Linked DNA regions of Tamandua tetradactyla. The protein of the gene in region 1 interacts with the protein of each later gene in a pairwise test. Links are inferred from orthologs where the notes say so. Each region holds a gene or a part of one and is shown on either strand. Other genes may lie near its edges.

Region 1 (8,603 bases):
CTGCAGTGTCAGTGGAAGCCACGTGGGGAGTCAGGATTCCCAGCCCCACAAGAGGTACACTCAAGAGCATTATAGATAAATCAAAGTGGAATTCTAGAAAGTGTTTGAGTAACCACCAGGAAGGCAGGAAAAAGAAAACAGAAACAACCACAAAAATAAATAAATTAAATGGCAGGGTAAAGTCCTAATACATCAATAATTACATTAAATATAAGTGGCCTAAATACATCAATTAAAAAATAGTTTGGGGCAGGCCATGGTGGCTCAGCAGGCAGAGTTCTCGCATGCCATGCCAGAGACCCAGGTTCAATTCCTGGTGCCTGTGCATGCAAAAGAAAAAAAAAAAGATAGCTTGGCAGGATGAATGTTTTAAAAGCATGACCACTATATGTGGTCCATAAGAAAACTCACTTCAAATATAATGAAATAAGTAGGTTGAAAGTAAAAGAGTGGAAAAAGTTATTTCATGCAACCATTAGAGCATTAAATTGGTTTTATTAATATCAGTGTTCTGGTCTGAAGCTGTTATGTACCCTATAAAAGGCCATATTCTCTTAATCTGTCCCTTTGGGGTCATGCATGTTGTTGGGTGGGAACTTCTGATTAAGTTGTTTCCATGGAGATGTGCCCCAGCCCATTCAATGTGGGTCTCAATCCCCTTTCTGGAGTCCTTCTGAAAAGACAAAAGACAGATGAACCTCTGAGAGCTGAGATGGAACCCAGAGAAGAGCCTCCAGAGGTGAAAGAGAGTCCCTGAAACCAACCCAGGAGCGAAGGATCAGCAGACATTGCCATTGGTTTCCCATGTGGCAGAGGAACCCAGATGCCAGCAGCCTTTCCTCTGAGAAGGTGTCTTCCTCTTGGTGCCTTAATCTGAACATTTTCGTGGACTTATTTACAAACTAATAACCCCCCACTGAAAAAAAGCAACAGCCCATTTTTGGTATATTGCATTCAAACTGAAACAATCAGTAAGGTAGACTTCAGAGCAAAAAATTTACCAGAAGCAGGAAGATTACACAATGATAAAAGGTTCAGTTCCCCAAGAAGATATAGAAACCCTAGATGGGTATGCAGTAAACAACAGAGCTGAAAATTTATGAAGCAAAAAGATCGATCTAGAAGGAGAAACGGATCCACAATTACAGTCATAAAGACTGTGTGACATCGGCAGAGGAATAGATGGTGGATATCGGCAGTGGATCAATAGTACAGTAGAATAGATCTAGAAATATTTTTGACAAAGATGCAAAAGCAACAAAAGTTACTGGGGCAGGGGATGTATCTTAAAACAAATGGTGTCTTTGCTTCAATAAAACAGTGTTTATTGTGCACCACCCATGTACCAAACACTGTTTAGCACTCAGGGTTCAGCAGGCAGCTGAGTCCCTGCTTTCTTTGGTGCTGACATTCTCCTGCCGTGGTCCCTGGGAGCCGGTAGAAGGGATGTGGTCACAGAGGGTCAAGGACAGGGTGAGAGCTGGTACCATAAATTTTTTGCTCTAAAGTCTACCTTATCTGATTGTTTCAGTTTGAATGCAATATACCAAAAATGGGCTGTTGTTTTGTTTTTCAGTGAGGGTTTATTAGTTTGTAAATAAGTCCACGAAAATGTCCAGAACACAGGAGCTGGTCCATAAACACAGGAGCCCTGACCTTCAGCTGGGCTGGATCCCTTTTCCTTTCCTCAGAGACAGCAGAGTGGAAGAGGACAAGATTTGGTGCAGACAGGCCTGCGTTCCATCTCCACCTCTGTCCCGACCTGCTGCCCACCTGTCAGTGGCTGACAAAGCCTCCTTTCTCAGCTGGCTTGAGGTCTGCACCAGCGAGCGCATGTGAACTGGTCCAGGTGGGGCCTAGCCAGTGTGAGAATCATCATTTTGCCTCCATGCACCCAAGGGTGACCGGGAAGGATTCGTGAAGGACAGCAGAGTGAGCAGCAGGGCCCTGCAGGGTATGTGTGCAGAGGGAGAGATTTGCAAGCTTCAGCCAGTCTGGATGACCCTGATGCTCCCAATTCTCTGCTTGAAGTTCTGGTGTTGGAAAGGGAGAGGCGCTGGACGTCTTCATGCTGGAAGGAGCTTCAGAGCTCATTGGCAGAGGGACCCGGCCTGTGGGTGGCTGTGTGATGGGCAGAGCCGGACAAAGACAGACAGGCTTGGGAGTCAGGCGGAGCACAGCTAAACTCGAGCGTCCCCACTTGCTGTCTGTATAGCCCGTGTGAGTTACTAACCCCTCTGAGGCTCAGTCTCCTCACCTGGAAAGTGGGGAGAATGTGGACCTCAGGCGGCAAGGCGGCTGTGAAGAGCAGAGCTGGTGCGTGGCAGGGGCTGGCCCAGGAAAGGGCTGCACCAGAGCAGACAAAGGCAGTTTTGACACTGAGCACCGTGTTACCCTCCTCTGTAGAAATGAGAATGACATTCCTGCCCCACTAGGTTCTGGTGAGAAGTAGAAATAAAACGGGTGTGGCCCAGAGGAGCTGTTTAATAGACGGTGGCCGCCGTCACCTCCCTGAGTCCTTAAATGAGCTTAAATGAGCCTCTTAGAGCATGCCAGGCACCGAGTCCGTGTTTAGTGAATACTTGTGAATGGACACTAAATAAATAATCCTAACTGTACCTGTGGACAAAACGATGCTGAAGGAATGAACGGCCATCAACTCCAAATGCAGCTCTGCACTGTGCTGGGTTTCAGAGGCTTCGGGCAGCCTCTCTGACCCCAGTTGCTTTTCCCGGAATAACGCCCTCGCAGGGACCAGGGGCAGGTGAGCCGGGCTGTCTACATCCAGGATGTCAGCTCAGGTGCTCGGTGACCTGGGCCCAGACACCCAGAGGCCATTGGGCAACCCTCAGAATATCATCCTTCCTCCTGGCCGGAGGCCAGGCCCGTGACTCAGCCTTTCAGCAGGAAGAGGGCCCCTTCCCCTAGGGTTTCTGTCCCGATTCTGAGCCAGTAACCTCCACATGCAGGGGGAATTTTGTTTCCCAACTCTGAGGCTCCCTTCCGGGTTTGAAAGGGTTGACATATTCTGTGAAGTTAACAGCCAGGCCAGGGTCTCAGCAGCCAAAGTAGTCATGTTCGAATAAACCAGATTTGTTCCTCTTCTGTTCAAACCACACCCCCTACCCTCATGGCTCCCCATGTCACTTGGAGGAAACGCCCAAGTCCCCCCCCACCCAATGCAGAGAGAGTGCAGAGAGTTGAAAGTCTCCTGTTCTCTGCACTTCCTCTTCTTCTACTACTCTCTCCCTCCTTCCCTTCACTCCAGCCATACCTGCCTCCTTGCTCTTCCTTGAACCCACTAGGCATATCTCTCTCTTCCTCAGGGCCTTTGCACTGGCTGTTCCCTCTCCTGGAACGCTCGTCCCCCAAATATCCACATTGTCACCTCTCTCAAGCTGTTGCTCAAATGTCACCTGTCCTGCTCACCCTATTTAAAATTGCAAACTGCCCCTTGCCCCCTGCACTCCTGATGGTCCTTGCTCTGCCCTGTTTTCCATTCTCCATAGCAGTGCCCCCCCTAACATACTATATAATTCGTTTATTACGTTTGTTTATGATCGTCTCTTTCTGTTAGAAAATAAGCTCCATGGAGGCTGGGATCTCTGTCTATTTTATTCACTGAATATCCCCAGAGCGTGGAACAGTGCCTGGCAAACAGGTGACACTCTGTAAATCTTTGTTGAATTAACTAACTTGTTTTTGGTGTGTCCTCTTTATTCTCTTAAACTTATTCACAGCAAGTTTAAGCCTCAAATTGCCATAGAAAAAGAAAAAAGGAAACTACTCCAGGAGACCTAAGATGTGGGTAGTTTCTAGCCATCCCACTGACTTGCTGTGACTGTGGAAGTATCGCACACACACCCCCCCTTTTGATTCTCCGTCTGTAGCGAGTGAGGACTGGATTTGGTGTCCTCCAAGCGCCCTCCCAACTCTGACAATTGGTGGTTCCCTCCTGCCAACTTTCATAAGGAACTCATACTAGTTCTAATCACAGGCCAGCCAAGAAGTCGGGCGAATTGAGACTTACACGCACAAGTAGCTGTGTAGACACATCCGAGCATCCGGCTGGCTGCAGTATCTACTGGGAAGGAAAATGGGCTTTGAGCTGAGAGAAGGGGGCTGGATCCTGGATCCCGAGTTTATGGGTGGTGGGAACTTGGGAGAGGGATTTAGCCTCCATGAGCCTTAGGGGCCCTCTCTCTATAAGGTGGCACCATGGTGGGACCCACTTTGTGGGAATGAGGACCTAGGGCAGGTTTTGATTCGGGCCTGCCTAACCCAAAGACCGGCTCTTAATTAAAGAGGCAAACTCTTTGTTTAGATGCCAAAGCAGACAAACACACACAAAATCCCCAATCCCCAAAGGCTCGGTGCTCCTTTCAGATCTCCCTGTGGTGCTCCTGGGTGTTTCCAGCCCTCCTCCCCCATTTTCCCTGCAGCAGGCAGAAGCCTGCACGAACGACCCAGGGGCAACCACAGCCCTGTATCCAAGTGCCTCTGTGGCCAAGCATCCCTGTGGCTGCCATGGCCCTGCCCTGAACTGTCCAGTCTGATGCCCAGATGCCCTGGAAAGAGGCAGCCATCCTGGAGGGTACAGAGAACACCAACTTCTAGGTCAGGAAGCTCGCCTTCTGCTCCCAGCTCTGCCACGCCCAAGCTATGGGGCCTTGGACAAGTCACTTTTACTCTCTGGGCCTTGACTTTCCCTTCTGTAAAATGGGTAGCAACAAGAACAACCCCCAAAAATGGGTAGCAACATCATGCACACATATCTGTTGCGCTGTCATGGAGTAGATACAAAGAAATCTGAAAGGCACGAGTCACACGGACTGACAGCTAATAAATGTCATTTGAACCTCAGTTTTTTCCTCTGTAAAATGGGAATGCGAATGGTATTAATCTCAGAGAGTTGCTGGGAAGATAAAATGAGGAGATAATAAGAGTACCTCCTTCCGAGGCTTTCTGTGATGAGTTAATCCACTCAAATTAAAGTGGGGATTAAAGTGGGGAGAAAGGTGCCTGGACTCAGAAAATGTTGCAAAAGGGTTAGCTGTCACGTAGGCGTCCTGGCCTGGGAGACCTGACCTGACTCTGGTTTGACTGGAGGGTGTAGCCCGGGTTATGCTGTCTTGCCTAGAATCTCCCAAGCCCCAGTTTTCTTGCTTTCTCTTGTTGGGTGAACTCAGGTGAGGTTGGGGCGGATGCAGATGGCCTCCAGGAAGGAATGGGCCATGGGTTTGAGAACCTGGGCCTCTACCACCCCTCCCAAGGCTCCCCAAGCCCTTGGGCCTTCCCAGGAAACTGGCAGCCCTGGGCTGTCCGATTCTGGCATTGACACCTACTGGGTCTGAGGGCTGCTCACACACGCCCTGAAATCTGAGCAGGGAGGGGCTTAGCTTCTGGGGCTGCAAACCACAGGTGCTGACTCATGGCCTTTGCTGGGCAGTATAAAGGAGCCAGTCCAGGGGTTTCCTGCAGCTGGAGGGATGAGCTCCAGGACAATGGCCCTGGGAGCAATGATCCGTGTGGCCCCGGAGAAGCCCACCCATGCCGTGTGTGTGCTGGGTACCAAGACTCAGCTAGATGTCTTCAGGTGAGAGCGAGGACTCCTTGGGGGCCTGGGGGTGGGGGCAGGCCCAGTGACACCGGATGAACCTGTTTTGTTGACACAGGAACGTGTGGTTAGCTCAGACTCCAGCCTCTGCAGATGGTGCCCAGGGAGCCGCTGGGAGAGACAAGAGGCCCTGGGAGGTGCCCAGGCTCATGGGAGTAGGTTCTTTCCCATGTACAATTGGGGGTTCCCTGGGGCCTCACCATAAATAATTATTACAAAGCAAACAGGGCCAACTTCCTCTCGCCTTTATGGCAACAGATGCTCAGAGAGGTTCTGTGATTGCCTAAGATCACACAGCAAGTGTGCTCTGGAAGCAAGTTTAGCTCCTGGGCCTCTTGACCCATCCTTGGTTCATGGTGCCATCTGTTACCCAATCAGCTGAGCAGTCCTCAGTGGGTACACAATGGTGGGCTCTGGGAACCTGGCCCTGCAGTTGGCTAGCTGGGTGACCTCAGGCAGCTGAACCTCAGTTTCCTCATCTGTGAAATGGTGCTGACATTTCACAGATGTTGACTTACTTCACAGGGAAGGTCTAGGGCTTGAATGTGAAAATATTTAAGTACTTAGCACAGCACAGGGCACATCCCTGGTAGTTGTTCTTTGGTTTGTTAGTTTATTCACTCATTCATTCAACAAACACTCATTGAATACCTGCGATGTGCCAAGCTGTATGCCAGACTTTGCAGTAAGCAAAATGGCCCAGGATATTCCTAGGGAGCGTCCATGGGTACTGTCGTTATAGTTGTTGTCAGTAAGAGCAGTGGCAGCCCCTGGCTTCCTCCACCCCAGGCTGAGCCGCTGTGCTCCTAGAATGGCCTTGAAAGTGCCAACCACTGCCTGCTCACCGGCAGTGAGAGAACAGCAGTGTGGCCTCCCGGGGCCAGGGAGGGGAGGTGGGGTAATGAGAGGTGTGGGGAATAAGTCTGACATCATTCGAGGGCAGCCAATTCCTCTGAGAATGAGCTCTTTGATGTTGGATGCAGAGGAGTGAAAAGAGTCAGAGCTAGCTCGGTTCCCTCCCAGGCTAGCCCTCTTCCCTGGCAGCTGCCCAGGCTAGCCTTCTTCCCAGTGTACCCCCTCTCCACTCTCAGGGCTGGACCGAGAAGTGATGGGCTAGGGTCATAAGTGTTTCTTCTGGCTCCAGAACTGGGAGGTAGTGAGCTGGCCAAGACTGGACCAAGAGGGAGACACTGCCCCCTTCTCCCCCAAAAGGACAGGGAACGCTGCAGTTCCCAGGTACTTTAAAATCTTTCTTTCCTTCTCCTTCATCAATTACCAAGTCCTGTCAATCCTGTCTCCTGAATGTCTCACATAATAATGGCTAATATTTACATTCCACTTCCTACATATGACTCATTCAAACAGCCTTATAAGGTAGGTGATCTGTTATTCCTATTTTACAAAAGGGGATACTGAAACTCTGAAAGGTCAAGTAATGACCTGAAGTTACACAGCTAGTGAGCAGGGAAGGCAGCCTGGCTGCAGGACACCCCATCTCCTCGGTCCCTGGACCAACCTTTCCTCTCCCCTCTAATCTGTTCTAACCCCAGCCCCCCAGCCGGTGCTTCTCCCCAACTCCTGCCCAGTCATCACCCTCCCTGCAGGCCAGACTCTCCTCCTAAAACAGAAGGGAGGGGCCTGCCTTTCTCACCCGCCCTCCTTCCTTGGCGACCCCCGCCCCCAGGCCTTGTGCACGCACCTCCAAACCCTTGCTGGGGCTGCGCCCTCTGCCGCCGGGCTCCGGGACCCTCGGGGTTTAAATGACAAGGTCATAGAGGTCAGAACAGACTTCAGCTGGGGCCGGGGGATGGAATGGGGGTTCCTAATCCAAAGCTCCTCTCATAAGCTCTGCTGGTGATCTTAATACTTGGTTTGGAAACTGCTTTCCCTGCAATGGGGAGATGCATTGATTATATTCAAACACAATCCTGCTGACCTTGCACAAGGTCAAGGGCTTACGGGATGCTGGTGGCTGGGGTCAGGCAGGCTTCATGTTCCCAGCTGCCTGGTGTCTGGCCCTTTTTGTCAGTGATTCCTTACCCTTACAGGAATACTATGAGGGAAACAGTTGGATACCCATTTTAGGGTGCCTAAACCGAGCCTGAAGAAGCAAATCCTGTCCAAAGCCACACGATTTAAGACATTTGAAAGCAGGGCCACCTGGCCCCAAAGCCATCCTGCTTCCCCGATGTCATTGCCTCCGGGCACTATGAGGGGTCCCCCTGGGTGCTGCTTCTGGTGGCTGAACTCACGCAGCATCGGAAGGGCTGTGGCATGGTGGGGGCCAGGAGGCACAAACCCCAGAGGACGGGGGGCTCCAGAGCTGCCATCGAGGGGCTTCTCCTCCCCCTCCCAGTCTCGTCCTCAGTAGAAGACCACTTCATGGCAAGGAAGCATGGGCAAGTCTGTTAGTGTCTCTGAGCCTCAGTTTCCCCGTCTGTAATCTCTGGCGTGCTGGGCTGTGGCGAGGATTCAATTATATAACGCAAGCCAAGGGTCCGGCAGAGCAGACCCCTTTCCTGTAAGGGCTGCAGGAGGCAGGGCGATGTAACAGCACTGCAGGCAGCACGTGCAGCCAACCTAGGGTCAGCTGTAGGGAAATTCTGGGGCAGGAGTTAAAGGAACGATGTCACTTGTCGGGGACTCAGATTTTCCGTGTTGCTCTACAGAGGGTGTCAGAAGATTCAGCTGTGGTTTGTCTTGAAATAACACAGGCCTGGGGGCCTGCAAACACACACACACACACACAAAACCCCCACGTCCACGAAAGTTCCTTGCTTAGGGGTGGGGAAGTATGTGGGAAACAGCCAAAGGAAAGAATGCATGTCCGAGACTGGGTCCAGCTGAGCGTCCCTTTGCTCAGCCTCAGTGCCATGTCCAGCAGAGAGGGTGGCTGCGAGGCCTGGAAATGGTGACGATCCCGTCATTTGCATTTGTCTCGCTGCCCCTCCAGAAGAAGCCACTTGAGGCAGGCTTGACCCCACGG
Region 2 (7,577 bases), on another chromosome or scaffold:
CAATGATAGTGACAGCTGAGGACATAGCCCATATGCACTGATGCATTAGTGCCAATTAGGATAGGCACCTTGCAGCTGGGTGCATGGCTTGGTGAGTGGAAACAGGCTGAATTTCAGCCCTACCCCCTCCTACCCCTACCCCCTACCCGCCCCAGCCAGGAGCACTTACGCAGTGGTTATCCTGGACAACCATATATTGCAACCCTGATGCAGAAACAGAGCCTTCTCCTGGCCTTCAAATGCCCATAGCAAACACCAATTCCTAAAAAGTGACTTGTTGGGGGAGATGAGGCACTAGAAGGGCACATCCCACCCCCAGATGTATCCTTAAAATCCTTGGGCAGCCACTGTTGCGCCTGAATTTCAGTGTGCTTTTCAACAGGCATTATCAATTTTAGTTTTCTATTCAGGCTTGGTGTTGACAGCGTCATTTCAGATGAAATGGAGAAAAGGTTGAGAGCTTCTAATGTAGTGTCCTTAGGAAAATAACACTACAGTGCTTTGTCACACTTTAAAATCCATGGACAAAGGAAAGAACATAGAAGAAAGTCAGCGAGGATGTTTATTCATTTAGCAAACATTTCTTAAGCACCTGGGTTGAGACAGTGGGCTAAGCGGCAGGTTCAAAGGTGACTAGAACAAGAGTCCCTCTGCCTGGCAATCCCCACCACCACCTCCATGCCCCGGAAAACCCTTACTGTCATCTCCCGAGTTTGCAGTTCAAAAAGCTTGTCTTTGGTGAAGCTTTCTCCTATTTCCATCTACATCTAGTTTCTTCATAGCACTTTGAGTGTCTTTCTAGGCACTTATCCCATTTTATTATAATTACTTCTTGACGACACTGGTATTTCCAGTAAAACATAGACCCCTGGGGCTTGTCACTTTCATATTTATATCCCCAAGCTTGCCCCAGGCCACATATTTAGATGGAAAAGATGTGAATTTGGTAAATGAATGAATATTGAGCATGATACTTTACATCTATGAATTAGTTTATAAAGCATTTATCATATAATTTTTCAAAATATATCTTTATAATATCTTTTTCTGTGAGGCATGTAGAAAAGTCTAATGTTATTATTTCCATTTACAGAGAACTCAAAGGGATCAGTGCCAAAGTCATTTAGTATTTGAATTCAGATTTTTTTCATTTCTATTCTATTTCCATCCTATCTTGCTGTTTCTCTTACTATGTCTGGCAAATCACTGGTGAAAAGTATCCATTCTTACCAAAAATTGATTACAGGAATATGATACGGTCTTTTCTGTAAAAGAGCTGGAAAAAGCCAAGGGATCTCGATCCGTCCTCATTGTCTAGTGAAACATTCCTGCATTTAGGATTTAAACACTGAAGAGTGATTGCTTTAGTCTCCTAGCCGCTAAAACAGATGCCAGACACTGGGTTGGCTTAACAAGAGGAGCTGGCTCAGGGTTTCAGAGTTCAGAAGGCTTGCTTCCTCCCAGGGTCAATTGATTCTAGCTGGTCGACAGCGTTTGGTTCCTTGGCTCTTGTGTCATATTACAATGCAGGTAGCAATGTCTTCTTTCTTTTCCAGTTCCTTTGACTTCTGGCTTTGGCTGCTCCCCCTGGCTTCCCTTTCCACGTGACTTTCACCCTGCTTATAAAGGATGCCCGTGACCCAGATCAAAGCCCAACCTGATTTAGTTGGGCCACGCCTTAGCTGAAGTGACATCATGAAGATGTGTAGCCTAAATACAGGCTAAGACCAAGAGCATGTCCTAACTCAGGTACACTGTTCAGTCCACCACAGTGACCTTCCAGTCTCACAAACGTGATCATGTTATTGCTTCTCTGGTTAATTTCCCATACTGCAGCAAGAGGCTCTTTTAAGAACATTACATCTGTTCAAGTCATTCCCCTGTTTAAATTCCTTCTGTGGCTCCTCCTTGCCGTCAGGATCTGTTACTTTGCCTGCTGGGAGGGCCTTCATGATCTGGCCTCTGCTGAGCCTTCCAGCCTTATTTCTTTCTTTGGCTGCCTCTGCTCCTCTCCACCCTGAATGTACCTTGCATCAGCTGCCCTGAACTTCCTGAAGTTCCAAGGACGATGCACTGTCCTCTTTCAGCCAGGAGGCTTGGAAACCATGAGGTTGGAGTAGCCTGCCTGAAAGTAGTCCCCCAGGCAGTGCTGCAGTGAGAGGTGGAGCTGAAAGGAAGCAGCCAGGGAAGTTACCAATACTAGCATCATCCTCAAAACAATGGAAAGTTCCTTGGAGGCAGGGATGGCAATTGTCTTGCTTGTGTCCCTCTCCCTGACTTGCAGGGTCAAGTCTTAAGCACATGAAACCAATTCTGAATGGGATGAAATCACCTTCTCAGGAAATATTCTGCAATCTGCTTGGTTATTTTGGGAGGGGGCCCATTTACTAAGCAGAATGAGAGTCAGCACACCATAACAGCACCGCCAATTCATCCATTCCTTGAATGAATTCCTAATCACCTTGGTGATTCCTAATCACCATATGTATGGATCACCTACTATATGCCTGATACATTGGGACTATAATAACAATCAGGAGCCTTATGCCAATTGGTAAAAACTGGAAAATTAATCGATGATTAGAAGACAGTCTGTAACTAACACAGGGAGAAGGAGAGCTAGCTCAGACTTGGAATATCAGGGAAAGCTTTACAAAGGAGATGATACCTAACTTGAGTCCTGAAGGACAAGCAGAAGCCACTTAGCTGTGTGTATGTACACATTCACACGTGTCTGTGTGTCCTAGCGTTCCAGACAAGGGAAGCAGCAGGTGTAAAGCCTTGGAGTCAAAGCTAAAAAGCATGGCAGATTCTGAGACATGCAAATGATTCTGCCAGTCCGGACCTGACTGATCCTATGACCCTTCCTAGTGACCTCAAATTCTGGGTTAGTATTTCCCAGACATAACTGAAATACCATCTGAGAAGGCTAAGTATAATTTAGCTCCTGGCTGTGAATTACATCTCCCGAGAATCTCTGAGTGCAGGGAAGAGAAGAAGGAAGGGTAGATGATGAATATGCAGAAGATGGAGGGCTGGCAGTGATATTTATATTGCAATTTACCTTCAACAGCAGCCTTCTTTTGGAACTCTGAGGAGCAGGGATGACCTTGGCCCAATTTATCCAGAAAATGTGGGATCCTAGCTTCTGTTATGTAGATGCAAGCAAGGTTCTCCTTGGGTCACACAGCAGGAGCTTGACATTTGGATAATGTGATTGATGAGTTCTGTCCTCCCACTGAGGACCCCCATGGTGAGAGAGAACTCCGGAAAGGAAGTAGCCCAGGGACTTTCCAAACCGAACATCTGCAATGAAATGCAGAACATGCTGAGCTACACAAGACCAGACTTCCCACCATTAACAAAACTTTAAAATTCAGCCTTCTTCCCTAGAAGACCTCTCTGAAAGCATCCTAGCTGGATCACTTTCCTGAGAAGGTGATTTCATCCCATTCAGAATCGGTTTCATGTGCTTAGGACTTGACCCCGCAGATCAGGGAGAGGGACAAAGATTGTGTGATTTTCTCAGCGTGCTTGTCACCTGGTAGAAAGTCAAGCTCCAAGGGCATGTGTTATAGGGATCTGGGCAGATCCAGAGTGTAGGCATTGCAGAGAGGATGAGATACCAGTCCAGAGTAAAATAAGGGGCCCAGGGCACCTAGTGCTGACAGAAGGCTTTTGGGGAAGAAGTCACGGGGAACAAGAAATTCCAAAGAAGAGAAGGGCATGGGTCAGGGAACTTCTTACAGACCCCTAGTCTATTCACAATTTTCTCTAGGACTGTAGATACCTCAGAGTCATTATGAAATCTACTATCCTCGTCCCTCCCCTTCTCTCCTCTTAGAACTCAATGAAAAAAAGTATTAATTGTGCAGATCCTTTATACTATCAGTGAACAGTTTATAGCTCTTTGAGAATTCCCCAATTCTCTAATACCATTAGTAGTTATGAATGCTGGGCAGAAGGTAGGTTCACTCACTAGCAAAATAATAAGGCTTGCAAAGCAGCTAAGAAGACACATGACAGATTTCAATTTGTGTTGAGATCTTTATAGGTTCCTTCTCATTTAGACATCCTATAGACTTGGGAAATTGATATCATTTTCTGTTTTCAAAATATCTGCATATAATAATCTTTTGATATGTCACTCTTGTGCTTTTGCTACTGTAATTGTTAGGTTCTGGTGTTAGCTTGGCCAGGTGATGATGTCCAGTTGTCTGGTCAGGCAAGCACTGGCCCGACCATTGCTGCAAGGATATTTCATGGCTGGTTGATAAACCAGAAGGTTGATGTATTAAATCATCAGTCAGTTGATTGCATCTATGATCAACTAAGGCATGTTTCCTATCAGTAAGATAACCCTGCATTCAGTGTTGTAGCTTGAGGGGTTAGAAAGGGCATTAACAGTTTGTTTGGATGGTTGGCTGAAACACGGATTCAAAGGTGGTCAACATTACCTGAGGTCAAAATGCCAGAACTGCTTTGGTGTAATGTAGATGAGGCGATCCAGAGGCTTAGAAAGATTGGAATGCTAGAGTGGGCTTATCATGGAAGACCTCAGGAATGTCCAGAGGACACATCTTTCACCAGGACCTTGAGAAATAAATTCATGAGACCAGCTACATCATCCCTGAAGAGTTCTTGTACTCGCTTTTCTCTATAGATCAGATATTACTCTGGGAACTGTTGTCACTGAGCTGGAATCCTTAAATACAATGGGAATGATTGGATCCCAAGTTAGCAGAAGCCATGTGGTGACAGTTAATCACCACATACAAGGTGGGGGTGGCCACCATAATGGACAGCAGACTCAAAACAGGGGTCAAAATAATCTGACCCACAGAGACTTGTGGCATTGACTAGTAGATCATGGGGTACCTAGAAGTAAAACAGATAGGTTCTACTAAATTCTTGTTTGAGCTGTATAAGCAGAAGAATTCTAGGTCAAGTAAATAGAAGTCCAACATGAGTTACAAAAAACAGAGAGTCATGGGCCCTTAATCAATTTCCAGACTTGGAAAGTCTACAGACCCAGAGCCCCTTGAATGAGGGAAGGGCTTGTTACCCTTGCAGAAGGACCCTTTAACCCCACCCCAAAATTTATAGTTAACCTTCCCCCCAGCCTTCCAAGGAGACCTACGGCCTTTTACCAGGGAGACTGTGCATTGGGGAAAAGGACATGATCAGATATTTCAGGAATTATTAGACATTGGCTCAGAAGTGACACTAATTCCAGAAGACTTAAAACGTCACTCTTGGAACGACATTGGTAGCTCAGCAGGCAGAGTTCTCACCTGCCATGCCGGAGACCCACATTCACTTCCCAGTGCCTACCCATGTGAAAAAAAAAAAAATCACTCTCATTCACCAGTCAGAGTAGGGGTTTATGGAGGTCATGTGATTGATGGAGTTTTAGCTCAGGTTCATCTCACAGTGGGTCCACTGGGTCCCCAGTCCCATTCTGAGGTCATTTCCCTAGTTCCAGAATTCATAATTGGAATTCACATACTCAGCAACCAGCAGAATCCCCACATTGTTTCTCTGACTCATGGAGTGAGGGCTATTATGGCAGGAATGGCGAAGTAGAAGTCCCTAGAACTGCCCCTACCTAGCAAAATAATGAATCAGAAGCAATACCGTATTCTTGGAGGGATTGCAGAGATTAGTGCCACTCTTTATATATACATATATATATATGTTTTTATTGACAAGTCTTCACACACATACGGTCCATACATGGTGTACTAGTTTGTAAGCCATTGGAATGAGATATACCAGAAATGGAACAGCTTTTAAAAAGGGGAATTTATTAAGTTTCAAGTTTACAGTTCTAAGGCTGTGAAAATGTCCAAATTAAGGCATCCAGGAAAAGATACCTTGGTTCAAGAAGACTAATGAAGTTCAAGGTTTCTCTCTCAGATGGTAGGGCACATGGTGATGTCTGCTAGCTTTCTCTCCAGGCTTCCTCAACTTTATCTCCACGGCTCTGTCAGTTCTGGTTGCTCTTTCCAAAACAGTTCCCTCTTAAAGGGCTCCAGTAAGCAACCCCACCTTGAATGGGTGGAGACACATCTCCATGGAAACCATCTAATCAAAAGTTGCCACCTACATTCAGGTAAGTCATGTCTCCATGGAGACAATAAAAAAGATCCCACCCAGAAATATTGAATGAGCATTAAATGACATGGCTTTTCTGGGGCACACAACAGATTTAAACTGGTACACATGGTGTACAAACAATGGCTCACAATATCATCACATAGTTGTGTATTCATCACCATGATCATTTTTAGAACATTTGCATCATTCCAGGAAAAAGAAATAAAAAGAAAAAACTCATACATCCCATATCCCTCACCCCTCCCTCTCATTAATCACCTGTATTTCAATCTACCCAATTTATTTTACCCCTTACTCCCCTTATTATTTATTTTTTATCCATAATTTTTACTCATCGTCCATACCCTGAATAAAAGGAACCCCAGACACAAGGTTTTCATAATCACACCATCACATTGTACAAGTCAGACCATTATACAATTGTTCTCAAGAATCAAGACTAGTGCCACTCTTAAGGACTTCAAAGATGCAGGGGTGGTGATTCTCACCATATCTCCATTCAACTCTTCTATTTGGCATGTGCAGAAAACAATGGGTCTTGGAAGGTGACAGTGGATTATCATAACCTTAACCAGGTTGTGACTCCAATTGGAGCTGCTGTTCCAGATGTGGTATCATTGCTTGAGCAAATCAACACATTGCCTGGTACCTGGTATGCAGCTATTGATCTGGCAAATGTTTTTTTCTCAATAGCTATCAGTAAGGGCCACCAGAAACAGTTTGCATTTACCTGGCAAGGCCAGCAGTAGACCTTTATTGTCCTGCCTCAGGACAACTCTCCAGCCCTATGGCACAATCTTGTTCTCAGGGACCTTGATCATTTCTCCCTCTCACAGGACATCACATTCGTCCATTATATTGATGATATCATGTTGGTTGGACCTAGAAAACCAAGAAGTAGCAACTACTCCAGACTTATTAGTAAGGCATTCGTGTGCCAGGGGATGGGAGACAAATCCAACAAAAATACAGGGGCCTTCCACCTCAGTGAAATTTCTAGGTGTCCAGTGGTGTGGGGCATGTCAAGAAAAACCTTCTAAGGTGAAGGATAAGCTGTTGCAACTGGCCTGTCCTGTGACCAAAAAAGAGGTGCAATACCTAGTTGGCCTCTTTGGATTTTGGAGACAACATATTCCTCATTTGGGTGTGCTACTCCAGCCCATTTACCAAGTGACTGGAAAAGCTTCTAGTTTTGAGTGGGGACTGAAACAAAAGAAAGCTCTGTGAGATTTCCAGCTTGCTGCCCCCTGGGCCATATAATCCAGCAGATCCAATGGTGCTGGAAGTGTTAGTTGCAAAGAAGGATGCTTCCTGGAGCCTCTGGGAGTCTCCTATAGGAAAATCACAACACAAACCCTTAGCATTTTGGAGCAAAGCCTTACCATCCACTGCAGATAACTACTCTCCTTTTGAGAAACAGCTTTTAGTCTGTTACTGGGCCTTGGTTGAAACTGAAT

Evidence for each region. The genes of interacting proteins can lie anywhere in the genome.
Region 2: the proteins of PADI4 (region 1) and ANXA4 interact in binary tests that used the Homo sapiens proteins (3 or more experiments, as listed by UniProt). The two-hybrid records come from large-scale screens. The link is inferred for Tamandua tetradactyla from reciprocal best matches to the Homo sapiens genes PADI4 and ANXA4.

The regions. Positions count from the first base shown.
Region 1 is NC_135328.1:209,024,519-209,033,121, reverse strand, and holds the start of PADI4 (protein-arginine deiminase type-4), read left to right. Parts: upstream 1-5,420; 5' UTR 5,421-5,489; coding exon 5,490-5,596; intron 5,597-8,603. UniProt on the Homo sapiens protein: Catalyzes the citrullination/deimination of arginine residues of proteins such as histones, thereby playing a key role in histone code and regulation of stem cell maintenance.
Region 2 is NC_135343.1:43,204,327-43,211,903, reverse strand, and holds the start of ANXA4 (annexin A4), read right to left. Parts: upstream 3,224-7,577; 5' UTR 3,065-3,223; intron 1-3,064. UniProt on the Homo sapiens protein: Calcium/phospholipid-binding protein which promotes membrane fusion and is involved in exocytosis.